Drosophila melanogaster: one gene and its partners. The protein of the gene in region 1 purifies or fractionates together with the protein of each later gene. This does not show direct contact. Each region holds a gene or a part of one and is shown on either strand. Other genes may lie near its edges. The genes, in order: RfC38, CG3548 and CG15047.

Region 1 (4,181 bases):
AGAGCGTGGTTCAAAGGCTTCTCGGGTTAAACGCCTTCTTGCCCCAGTGGCTGATAAACTCCTACAAGTTATCCCACTCCCGGGAACTGCTCCACTTACTTGTGAAACACAATCGTCTGCTGGAAGCCGCAGATCTGGGATGTGAAATAATCGCCGGCATGCTGGGAGCAGGTAGCGAGTATTTCGAATTCAAACACGCGGTGAACATAGCAAACCCACAGCTCTGCTTCCCCATCAGCACGATCGATTTGCTGCTGCACGGTTTAAAGATTAATGGCAAGGATGATCTTGATTATGAAATGGTAAGTCATACATATAAATTTCGTTCTACTCAAAATACATTCCAATCATATTCCAAATCTATTCCTATTTTAGGCTTACTTTAAACTCGAAGAAGAAGTTCAAAGATATATTGAGACCATAAAGCGCACCACCGATGATAAGATGAGCATGGCCGTTCTGCAGATGCGAACGGATCTTCAGGAAGAACGTTAATAGTTCGTTTAAATCAGTTTATTTAATAAGTTTTTTGAATTAAATGCTAAAGCGTGTAAATCGTTTAAAAATCATCCGTCATGTCCAGCTCAGAAAGGAACTTTTTATAGATGTTCATAAACTGAGCGACGAACGCTTCAAGATGAAAAATGTGCTTGGCGCCGGACTGCATCCGGTGCTCGTACTCGGTGGCGAACTCGAGCGTCTTTGCCTTGATGGACATATCACAATTGTTAACCAGCTGTTCGACCAGGCCGCGGAATATGAGATTAGGTGGAACGCCTTGCGTGAGTAGCTCGTACAGGCGTTCGCGGATCTTCTCCAGTTTGGCAGGCGTTTGCTCACTGATAATCTGAGATGCTGTCTCACGCAGGAACACCTGCCAGTCCAGGTCGGGAATCTCCTGATTGGCGGTAAACGGCGCCTTGGCCACCTTGGCGGCCTCCAGCATCAAAAGTGCTCGCCTGAGATTGCGCTCCGACTTGTCCACAACCCGTTTGGCCAGCTCCACGGGCAGTGCGAGTCCCTCCCGCTTGCAAGTGTTCTGCAAGATGGACACGATCTCCGTTTCGTTGGGAGCCGCCACCCGTATGCCCAGGCAACGCGACCGTATGGCCGGAATGATCCGAGATGTGGAGTTCACCGATATGATTATCCGGCACGTGGCCACATATTTCTCCATCGTACGGCGCAGGGCGTGCTGGGCATCCTTGGTGAGTTCGTCGCCCTCCGAAATTACAATCACCTTGAATTCCCGTTGGCCACTAATCTCAATTTGATGCGTCTGGGCCACCTGCTTGATGAGATCGATCACCACCGTGCGGTCGTACATGCCAGCGTCGGAGGGATTCACCTCCAAGTGGTAGTTGCTGCTGACCGTCATCACCTCTACCTTCCGATTGGATGGCGTGGTGAATGTCATGGTCTCGCTCCTCAACCGCTCAACGCCGGATCCGTACATCTCCCGTAGCAGGCACATGATGCGTGTCTTCTTGCCAGCACCCGAGGGTCCGTAGAACATCAGATGAGGAAAATCGCTCTGCTTGCAAAGGTTGCGTAGGTTCTCCGCTTGATCCTGCATCGAAATTAGCAAAAATCATAAAATAAAAAACCTTTTTAAAAAGAGATACTTTAATATATGGGCCAGCTATATAGATGTATGCGCCGGTTTCCTCGCTGATTTACCTTGTGGAAGTCCAATTTGGACAGCTCCCGCGGACGGTATTTATCCACCCAAAGTGCCATTTCGTTAACGCATGTAAAATACGATAGTAATTGGATGTATTTTAAGTTACTTTCTGACCGTAAAAGTAATTTAACAAAACAATTTAATGCGCGCCTTTTCCGCTGACTATTTCTAGTAATGCTGCAAGCTTCGATGTTTTTGATGATTATTGTCGATTTCTACGCTGTGATATCGATGTTTAGAGGTTTCATTAAATTTGCCACGCACATATTTTCAAATGATTATTTCGGCTTGAATGATTTAAAAAATTAAATACTTTAACAGATCACAATTAAAATTAATTTTAAAGTAATATTATTACATTTACACTGTTTTCGTGCCACGACTAAAACCAACGATAAAACAAGTAAAATTAATGGATTTCAAAATAAATGATTACGAAAATGCCTAAAAGACTTGAACTCTTTTATGATAAATAAACATTTGAAAACAAAAACATTTCTTGTGTTTCTGTAATAAATAACCGATTCAATGCTTCTCATGTTATGTATGGCAACGCCATTCCTCCGTTTTTACCGGTTAAAATTGGACCGCTAGCAAGTGTGACCGTGGGTTGGCGGTTTTAATGAGTTTCGGTATTCTGGGTAGAAAAAGCAGCTACCTTACTGCATCCATCAGTTTTTTTTCGCAAAACTTAAGTATCTTGGAAGTAAAATATCCGTAGAATTGCACAGAATTCGCGACAAGAACGCATGGAGAACGGAGTGGAACATGGTGTGGACGAGTCAGGCGAGAACCAGGTGCTGAGCAGTTCCGATGGCGAGGGAGACTGTGATGGTGACGGTGAAGTGGAGGGGGAGGTGCTGCAGCCGCCGCCGCCGCCGCCACTGCAAATAACAAACGATTGTGTTGGCGAAGGGGTGCAAGCGGAGGAGGGGGAGCGTGCACCAGCGACGACCGGAGCTGTGGACGTCACTCCGGACCCTGGGCCACCGCCCACGGATGGTGCAGCACCTGTAGCCATACTGGAGGACAACATGTGCGACAAGGATGTGGATAGCGATGCTGGCGACGAGGACAACGACGATGAGGTGAGCGAGATACCTTAAGCTTTTTGAAAATGTATAATATTTTCTATTCAAACCCTTTAGACCAAGGAGAACTACGAGGGCTTCAATGGCACCGGACGCACCGTCACACTGCAAACGCTGATGGCTGCCAATGTCCTGCAGCCGGGCCTGGGCTTAATGACTATCGAATATCTGGGCCAGAAGTTCGTTGGCGATCTACTGGCCGACGGTAAGATCAAATCCCATGAGACTGAGACAATATTCCTCACGCCCAGCGCCTGGGCAATGCACTGCAAGCGGATCATCAATCCGGACAAGAAGAGCGGCTGCGGCTGGGCCTCGGTCAAGTACAAGGGAAAGAAGCTGGACGCCTACAAGAACACGTATTTGCGAAAGTGCGCGTTGCAAAAGGAGACGCCGCTAGATGATTGTGAACTGGGTAGGTAAAGCTCACTTGCTTTATAATCCTTGCTAATTCCATCGAATCCATAGATGCTGAACGCAAGACTGACACCCCGGAGATTGTCGTCAAGCGAACCGTTTTCGCACATAATACCGTTTCGAATCGCAACGTAGTACAGTGAGTAGACCAAATGCGTACTGAATTTTGAGGGGGGTTGGTTCTTTAAAAGAATAGTCTGGCTTGCTTTTAGTTTAAATCTATATGCTGGATGGTATTTTAATCCAATTCTATTTATCCACAGCGACGCCAACATGTTGATTGAATCGGTGCCGTTTACTTCGGTGGGGAAATTGCAGCCCTTCCTCATTACAGTGAACTCCTCTGCCCTCTTGCTGGCGGATTTTCACTGCCACTTGACGGTGCGTGAGGTGTGCGGCTATCTAGGTGGCACCTGGGACATGAACACACACAGTGAGTCCGGCTCGGCTTGCGATTTATACTGCATAGGCATTTTCTACATGTTTTTTTCATTTCAGCTCTATCCATCACAAAGACATATCCTTGTCGCAGCACGCGCTTTGATCGACAGCGAGCCGGCGAAGTGGAGCGTGATATTCAAAAGATGATGATTCAGGATCAATTGCTGTTGGTTGGATGGTATCACTCGCATCCCAAGTTTCAGGCGGAACCTACGTTGCGCGACTGCGATGCACAGTTGGACTATCAAATCAAAATGCGCGGTGCCAGCGATCTCACCTATACGCCCTGTGTCTCCCTAATTATATGTATGTGTTATCCAATGGCCTTTTAAATTCTGCGCAAATACTTCATCTCAGCCTTAATCGAATAATACATTTTATCTTACAGCCCCTTACTACGATGAAAACCCTACCCTGGAGTCGGTGGTCAAGTGTATTTGGATTGTTCCGCCCAACGAGAACAGACAGTCCATGGAGTATGGCCGTCCAATGCTGATGCAGTATTCGGTGCTGCCGGACAAGGAGATACCCGAGGAGGTGCGCTCTGA
Region 2 (4,981 bases), on another chromosome or scaffold:
TGATATGTCAGTGGAGATATGATCGTAGATACGTGAGATTCGGATTCAACTACTCCGAGTTACTTCCAATGGCGCCTGCCGTCCTGTTTCTTGTGTTTACCTACCTGATGGGTGTGTCGAGGGGCTCCTTGAACTGCCCCACTGGGAAGTTGAACCCGCTGCAGTTCCACCTGGTTCGCCAGTGCCAACGAGCTGCAGCTGATGAAGCTCTGGCCCTGGAAAACACATCCTCTCTGAAGGAATGTGCTGATCTGGCGCATGATATGCGTGGGCTGGCCTTGAACTACGCTCCAGGAGGACCGAAAAGGAGGCTAAATGCATTTGATCAGAGGTCCTTTGGCAAGCAGGGCGACAAGGAGCAGCGCATTCGAAGTCGTTTGAGTGTCTTCGAACAGCCAGGGGAGTTCTTCAACTGCCACGTCCTGAAGTGTCCTCAGAATAACACATTTTCAGGGATGGTCAATGACAGTCGCTTCGATTACTACAGCTTATATGGAAGGCCAACAGGTTAAATGAAGTATCTAGCGTATCTGTTTGGTTGAATAATTTTGTGGTTCTTGCTAGTCGTAAGGAACTACAGCTGCATACCGGAGGTTGGGCTGTTCGTGGTGTATACTCAGCCTAGTGCCTACTTGAATGCCTCACTGACCTGTTCAAACTCCTCGGAGTTCACTGGTAGTCTGGCCCACATCGCATCCGAACACAGAACCAGTTTATTGGCCCAATGGCTAGTGGAATTCAACAGGAAATCACAGTCTCTGGCAGAAGGTAATGTCTATCTGGCCTATGTGGGTTTGGCCTACAACAGCTCAACGTCATTGAGCCCACTGGACTTCAGGAACTCCCAAGGGGAGAGCTTGCAGTGCTTTCTTTACAGAGCCTGGGATGGTGGTCATCCTCGAGTTGGGTAGGCTGACAGTTTATTAGGTTAGCCGCCAATGCTATCTTCTCTAAATCTAACCGAATTTGCAGTGGTGATCTGGGCAACGCCAGCTGCGTGGCCTTGACGCCGCAGGGAACCTGGCAAACCCTGAACTGCGACCGGGAGCTGCCCTTTATCTGCGAAATCCACACGGCCCGGTCAACTTTCGGCTGGGAGCAGTCCAGTTCCGAGCTGGACATCGGCCCAAATGCAGTCTTCGAGTGCGGAAGAGACCGAGTCTGAGTCTATGGCAGCATGGATATTCGCAGCCGTTTTATTCACTTAAGCAGTTTTCAAAACACAAAAGCCAAATAGATATAGTTTAGTGGTGATTGCCCGCCTCTCGCACGCCTTGTGGAAAGTGTAGAATCTGTTGCAGATGCAGGACCACCGGGCAGCGCCGCTTAGTGGTACTTGTAGTTCCTGTGGTGCTTCAACTTGGTGTAGTTAATCAGATAGAAGAACGTCATGCTGGCGACGGTCAGCTGGAAGAAGGGAGCGATCCCGGCGCGCTTTGGGAACACGTACTTGTGCTGCCAGCGCCACCAGGCACGGCTCACAGCTCCGGCCACAGCGTTGGGGGTCTTGTTGCGGCGTCCCAGCCAGGCGCCGATCTCGCCCAGCTTGACCTGGCCGAAGGGCACATCGGCTGCGGATCGGAGAGAGCGGAGAGGTCGGAAAGTTGTTTAAATTATGTAAAACGCTGCACATTTTTGGGCAGTGCAAATGTGCTCTGTGCCTGCCGCAAAAATTACGTAACCTGCTCACCTTTGCCGTAGAAGCGAGCGGGGTCGTAGGGCCCGTGCACCTTGGGGTTGTACTCAGCTGGATAGTCACCGAATGCCATCGCGCTGGTTTGGTTGAGATATATTCTTAAATCGGATTCTTATGAAACATAAAATTACGCCTGCTACTTACTTCCTTCGATACTGACAGTATGACCAAAGCGGCGAGAGCTGGGATTTTCATCGACCAATATACCGAAATATACTATGTGCGAATTTATTGTGTGCGTCTCCGCTAACAGGGAGGATGTATTCGCTACGTCATCGATACAGCGAATATATCGATGCCCGATGCACGATGCACTTCTCACATCACTAAGCTCCAGTATATACAGAAATCAAATAGGATTTTTGCAAGCCTGGGCATTCGAATCAGAATCCAGCCAAAGCGAATCCAGTGTGTAAACAAAAACAATGAAACTGGAGGAGTTGCTGACCAAGGGAGCCTCCTCTCCGCCGGAGGACGACGACGAGGACGAGAAGGTGGAGCTGAAGCCGCAGAAGTCAAGCAGCGCCACCGCGGACGAGGGGGCGGAGAACGCGGAGGATGCGGCCGAGGATGCTGGCGAGAAGGAAGGCGCGGGTGGCAAGAAGAAGGGCACGCGCAAGAAACGCTCCCTTAACTGGGAGGAGGCGGAAAGGGGGCTGCTCCTTGAGGTCATCAAGTCCAAGGTGGCCTTCGTGGAGAACCGGAGCGTGGACGCCAAGAGCATAAAGGCCAAGCGTCTGGCCTGGTCGCAGATCACCAAGCAGTAAGTTGCGCCATTGGGCAGTGGAGCTCGTCTTATAATGGCCCTTCACTCCTTCCATTCCAACCCCCCATCCAGGTTCAATGCCCTTAACTTCCGCCATCGCCTGCTGGAGCAGATCCAGGTGCAGTGGCGCAGCATGAAGAACTCCGCCAAGCGGGAGCACCAGCAGAAGCATCCGAAAACGGAGGCCCTGGAAGGCATGCGGATGATCGAGTTCCTGGAGGAGATGCAGAAGGATCCGGTCACCTCGCGCAGTCAGACACGCAGCGCGAACACAAACGGCGCTCTTAAGAAGGAGCTCATGGACATCGACGAGGACGAAGACATGCCGCTGGCCGCTCTGCCCAACTCTACGAACGCCAGCGAGGACACGCTGCAGACCTCCACAATAGCCATCCCCTCGCCGCCGCCCTCCACTGCTGGCGGAGACGGGGACTCCCAGCAGGAGGGAAATCCCGCCCAGCTGCCAGCCCAGCGACGCAAGCGGACCAAGGCCAAGCAGTCGCCCTCGGGCGCCAAGACAGAAACGTCCGGCGAAACGGGGGAGGAGAACGAAAAGGGCGTAGGCCCACCACGAAAGCGGCGACAAAGGAATGTGAGTTTGAACACAAGCCGCAAGTTTATTTATTATTATTAATTAAGGTTTAGCTGAACAAGTTGCAAATTTTTGTGAAGGGGAATCTTAATCTTTCTTACTAATAATACTATCTCATCGTTAACCAGCTCTCACAGGCCCAGTCGCTGCTGTCCGACGAGAACGAAGCCTCCACCAACGCAGCTCCGAGCGCCACCCCAGTTGCAGACACAAATAGCCAGTCCTTAGATTTGGTCGCCGCCACGGAGATAGAGCAGAAGTACAAGCAGGACCTGTTTAGGCTGCTCAAGCAGGCCCGTCTGGCCGAAATCGACTACGCCCGGCGGGAACACGAGCAGAAGCTGCGCTTCGAGCAGATGGAGCAGGAGGTGAAGATGGCCTACTACCGGCAGGAGCAGGACCTCAAGCTGCGGCACATGCGCGAGGAGCACGACATCCGGCTGCGGCAGCAACGACGGGAGCACGAGGCGCGCCTGGGGATCTACTCGCTGAAGAGCGGTGGCCTGAACGGAAGCATACAGGATCAGAGTTCAGCAAAGTGCAATGCCAAAGCGGACTACAACAATGTCCACGAGGTCGGGCCATCGACCAGTGCGGAGGGGGCGCTGGCGCTCAATGCCGCCTGCAACTAGGGGCGTGGCTGTTGGCCCATATGCATATACAATACGAAGAGAGCCAGCAATTAGGGTGTAAGGCATTTAGAGGAAACATCAACAGTACTTTAAAATTTAGCTTGAAATATGTTTAGCGAAATGTAGCTCTTCCGGTCAGCCAGAGTAACCGGAAACGGAAACGTAAACGCCGGACGCGCATACAATACTCATCGACACACTCAAGTTGCCACTCGGACGAATGGACTGTTGTTTATTGTGCAATTCGCACGAGACGAACTCACAGGCATTGCATTTTCAAGAAATTAGTATTACATAATTGTATCCGTATCTGTTAAGTACTCCGGGCGAAGAGATCAATTCAAAATGCGGTTGTGTCGTCGAAAAAAAAACAAACTCGAAAATACTCATGCACAGACTCTGAATAAGTTCCCCTTTGCAGAACGCAATTTACTCATCAGTCAGTATTCTCTATGGCCACTGTATTATTTTTATACCTTCATTTGTTAGCTTTAAGTTTTTTTTACACAACTACTACTTATACTTGTGCTGCCACCAGTTGGGCTGCCGTAGTTGCAGATCAATGTATCCATTGTCCATACATTGCGAGAATCTTTTATAATTCGTCTAAGCATAAGTTACTGTACGTCGTGTTGTATAGCGCTGTAATATCCTGTCACCTGCTTCTGCTTAATTAATACCCTATATCGGGCGAGAGCAAGGTACGATTAAACCATTAGATAATGAAATACAAATACATAGTGTATAAACAGATGAACGACGTGCGTTTAAAGGGGGGTTCTCCGATCTCTCAGTCCCCGAAACAGGAATCAAAGTGGGCAACTCTGCAAATGCTTAGTATTTAAAAATCAAGGGTTCTATCAATATATTTCATCCACTTGAACTTTTAGAAAGCTGTGATAAATCGAAATGAAGGACCTGGACGGCTCCTTGGACACTCTGGAGAATGCCCGCTTCAACTACGTGTATATGAAGGACATTGCTCGCCTGGCAAAGGACTCGATCTTCTCGCATAACGAGCTGATTAGCATTGTAATGCTCTACCATAAGTTTGTGCTGGTCAATGGGCCGAGAGCAAAGTACATGACCATTCAGCAACTCTCTGCGCTGATGGAGCTCTTGTTTGAGATCGTGGATCGCGATCTCATTGCGACCATTGTGTATAGAATAGCCCATACACCAGGTTCCAGGCCTCCTGACTTCTTTTCCGACAAGCATATACACTTGGAGTCCTTTGTGCGGCTTTTCACCGTATACTTCACCAAAGATCTTCAGCTGAAAATGGAATTCGCATT
Region 3 (3,268 bases), on another chromosome or scaffold:
TTAATGCATTTCAAATGGAATGTCTTATGAAATACATTCTTATTGTTTTCAAATACATCAATTCGAATAATAATCGTCAAACAAGTGAATCATATGGCACTCGTGAATATGTTTCATTAAACGAATCACATATCCACCGTCTTTCAAAATGTTATGGATGCGAACATTGATATCGCTTCGTAGTACTGTGTGCTCCAGATGCTTTATGCCCTCTAGGATGTTTATGTAAGGTATGGGACACTGACGGCGTGTTCCCAATATTTCAAATCTAAAGGCCAGATTGTGCTGGGCTTTCTCCAGCTCATAGCAAAATGTTAGATTTTTCTTGCTTGTATACTCGGTGATGCCGAAGTCCAGAAAGTAGACACGGTAACGGCAGCGAAATATGTCAACGATTTTGGCGCGATGATATCGCCCCTGATATGGGGCCAGAACGATGTCCCAGACGCGAAAATCACCTGTGCCCCTTTTCATAACACTCTTGCTCCACGTGGGCACTGTTGGTCCATCAGCGAATCGGGCGTAGAATTCGGCATGGCTAACGATCCTGGTGACATGGACGCGTACAATGCTACCACGTTCGCGACGCTTGGGTCTATATCGTGCAAAAGATTTGGCCACTTCCCGATCGTTTGCATCCATATTTCCGTACTCATCGCCCGAAATTGGTGGTAGTTGTGCGGATGGAATCTTCCGAATGTTGGTCCTATTCCTGATCAGGGCCACCAACAGTTCAAGGCCATTACTGCCGAGGACGCGCAGTCTAACATTTTGGGTAATAAATATATGCATCTGGGCCACATTGACCAGGCGGCATTTGATCGTTAGCGCCGGCAGCTTCTTGAGATCATCCGGCAGCGCGAAGATGCGCTCCATGCCGGACATGTTGGTATATTTGGCAGCGTCGATCATATAGGCACAGTAGCCCATGGGGTGAACGGGGGCATTAATGGCGATGCGAGAGATGCGATTCTCGGCCTTGTCGTAGAATGCAAAGATTTCGCCATAGTCGGGCAGCTGCTCCAGTTCCTGCAGTTGCACCTGCCCCATGGCTAGACATTTCAAAAGCTTGGAGCCCGGTCCATTGATGGTCACGTAGAAGACCGGCAGGCTCTCGAGCAGCACGGTGCCGGTTAACTTGGTGCCTATCGCAATTTCACCGATTTGGTCCGTGATCTTGTAGAAGGTTCCCACAACGGACCGCATGTGACCGCCATGGGGAGGATATAGGCGGCTCTTTCGCGGATTCCGCGCCAAACTGCTTAGGATCTCCTTTGAGTTGACGCACTTGGGGACCGCCCGGATGGGCTGAAGCAGGCAGCTGGGAATGGATTCTGTTTTCATCAGATTGAAAGTGCCTCCTTCCATTTTATACAGATGTGCTTATAATTTCAGGGAATAATTTAAACTACATATTGCCTTGTCAAAATGGAAGACAGTATCAGGGTAGCACTTCTTATCAAAATATCTCAAATAATATCAAAATTCTTGTTTGGAACTAAATGTACTTTATTTTGTGAAGTGAATAAAAATTGTTAGATTTCACCATATACTTAATTGTACGTAAATGATTCATGTTGCTGATTATGCAATGGCACTACAAATAAGTGTCAGTTTAGTAAGCTTTACTTTTATTAGCAATCAGCATGTGTCCTTGTTCCGCACTGTACTGAAAAGTAGGACCGTACTTAAGGATTTACCTAAAATTCGGCCACACAACAGTTAAATTAGCTTTCTGGGTTCGAAACCAAATGAGAGGGGTTAAAGAGGGGATCAGCTGATTTTGGCTAGATATCGATAGTGACGCCAAAGTTGAGCTGCGGAAATGTCGCAAGTTGAGCAATTGCATCTGAAATCTCCGCCAGAAACGGCTGCAGCAGGAGCAGGATCTCCTCAAGCAGCCGCTTCGGTGGCCGTGGCAGCCGATGCCAACGAAACGGAGCTCATGGTGAAGGTGGTCATGGACATGGGCTATCCGGAGGGCGAGGCTCGCTTGGCGCTGGCCCAGAGTAACAACAACGTGCAGCGGGCGGTGCAGATCTTGGTGGAGGGAATGGATGACGGCGAGACGCGCAAAAGGCGTGGCAATCGCAAGCGATTAAGGCAACTGCGCAGCTCCCTCATGGGGAATCCACTTGCCACGGATGAAGCCATCATCGAGATGATGCGCGATCAGAGGATCGCACAGACGCTCGCCGAGTTGGTGAACGGCAGCAGTGTGCAGGCCATGGAACTGCTACTGTCCGAGGAAGTGGATGAGTCCGAGAACGAGCAGCCGGAGGAGCAGGAGCTTGAAACCAGCCAGGAGCAGTCATCCTCATCTGCCGATGACTCTTCGCCTAGCAACTGAAAGGGAAACCAGATACTAGTTAGTACTGCTTACATCTTATAAGTTAAGGTATAGATATATGAGAAGTTTAGTTTTCAAGTCTACTGTTAAGTTAAAACAAGTTCTTCATAGTTACGTTTTTAGTTTGCTATTATGTTTAAAAAATGCCCTTAACTTTATAGTAAGTGTATATCAGAGTAATTAATGTTGATATTAATCCACCATGAAGTCTAACGAAGATTTCCATGTTAATTTTGTTAATTTTGTTTTCATATCTAAAAAGTGTCATCAATTTAAAAGTATACTTATATTTTAGTTTATTTTCAATTGTGGAATTTCGTGAATATTTGCATTAAATATATTGCTAAGCTGTTAGTGAAGATGAATCGTCGTTGTTACTTTTGGAAAACTTCTTTTTGGAACTCCTAATCTAATTTTTTCCATAATAAATAGGCAAACTATAGAATTTTTTAAAGAACCTAACAGTTAGAAATAAGTACCATTATTTTTGTAACATTATTATTGTCAATTAAGAGCAGTATATGGGGAATCAGGGCAGTTCGAGGACGAGGATGTTACCTGATGTGCTGGTCCCTAAAATGTTTGGGTTCAACCCCAGCCATCGGGAGACATTAAATGCATTAGGGCCACCCAGGCCAATTTTCCCCCGAGCACTTTGTTGTTGTTTTGGCGGATATGACTCCGGTCAAGGAGCGGAAGAAGCCGGAACTGAAAGCAACAGCAACAGCAACCCTGTGGCAATAGCAATGCGCAGCTTGTCAACCCTTTTCGGCCCGATGATTAATGATCGCTCTTTTATTTTTTCTACTCCAGCGTTTTGTACTGATTTCAATTTACCGCCTTTGCTCACCAGTTCTTTGGCGTAGATTGGAGTACATATAGTGCATCCCTTGGATTGCCTTGGGCAAGGGGTAGAGG

Evidence for each region.
Region 2: the proteins of RfC38 (region 1) and CG3548 purify together in Drosophila melanogaster (affinity purification with mass spectrometry, with the first as the bait; one large-scale study listed by BioGRID). This does not show direct contact.
Region 3: the proteins of RfC38 (region 1) and CG15047 purify together in Drosophila melanogaster (affinity purification with mass spectrometry, with the first as the bait; one large-scale study listed by BioGRID). This does not show direct contact.

What each region holds. Positions count from the first base shown.
Region 1 is NT_033779.5:11,128,432-11,132,612, forward strand, and holds RfC38 (replication factor C 38kD subunit), read right to left. Parts: upstream 2,215-4,181; 5' UTR 1,741-2,214; coding exon 1,681-1,740; intron 1,571-1,680; coding exon 560-1,570; 3' UTR 501-559; downstream 1-500. Other genes in the region: Nup160 (nucleoporin 160kD), read left to right, coding at 1-302, 376-495; CG4751 (uncharacterized protein), read left to right, coding at 2,434-2,772, 2,833-3,190, 3,244-3,331, 3,456-3,625, 3,691-3,939, 4,022-4,181.
Region 2 is NT_033778.4:24,597,927-24,602,907, forward strand, and holds CG3548 (uncharacterized protein), read left to right. Parts: upstream 1-2,020; 5' UTR 2,021-2,121; coding exon 2,122-2,459; intron 2,460-2,534; coding exon 2,535-3,054; intron 3,055-3,182; coding exon 3,183-3,686; 3' UTR 3,687-4,441; downstream 4,442-4,981. Other genes in the region: CG13587 (uncharacterized protein), read left to right, coding at 69-507, 565-907, 973-1,165; ATPsynF (ATP synthase, subunit F), read right to left, coding at 1,327-1,571, 1,691-1,769; CG3565 (uncharacterized protein), read left to right, coding at 4,596-4,981.
Region 3 is NC_004354.4:18,526,887-18,530,154, forward strand, and holds CG15047 (uncharacterized protein), read left to right. Parts: upstream 1-1,796; 5' UTR 1,797-1,825; coding exon 1,826-2,350; 3' UTR 2,351-2,707; downstream 2,708-3,268. Other genes in the region: CG15042 (uncharacterized protein), read right to left, coding at 58-1,368.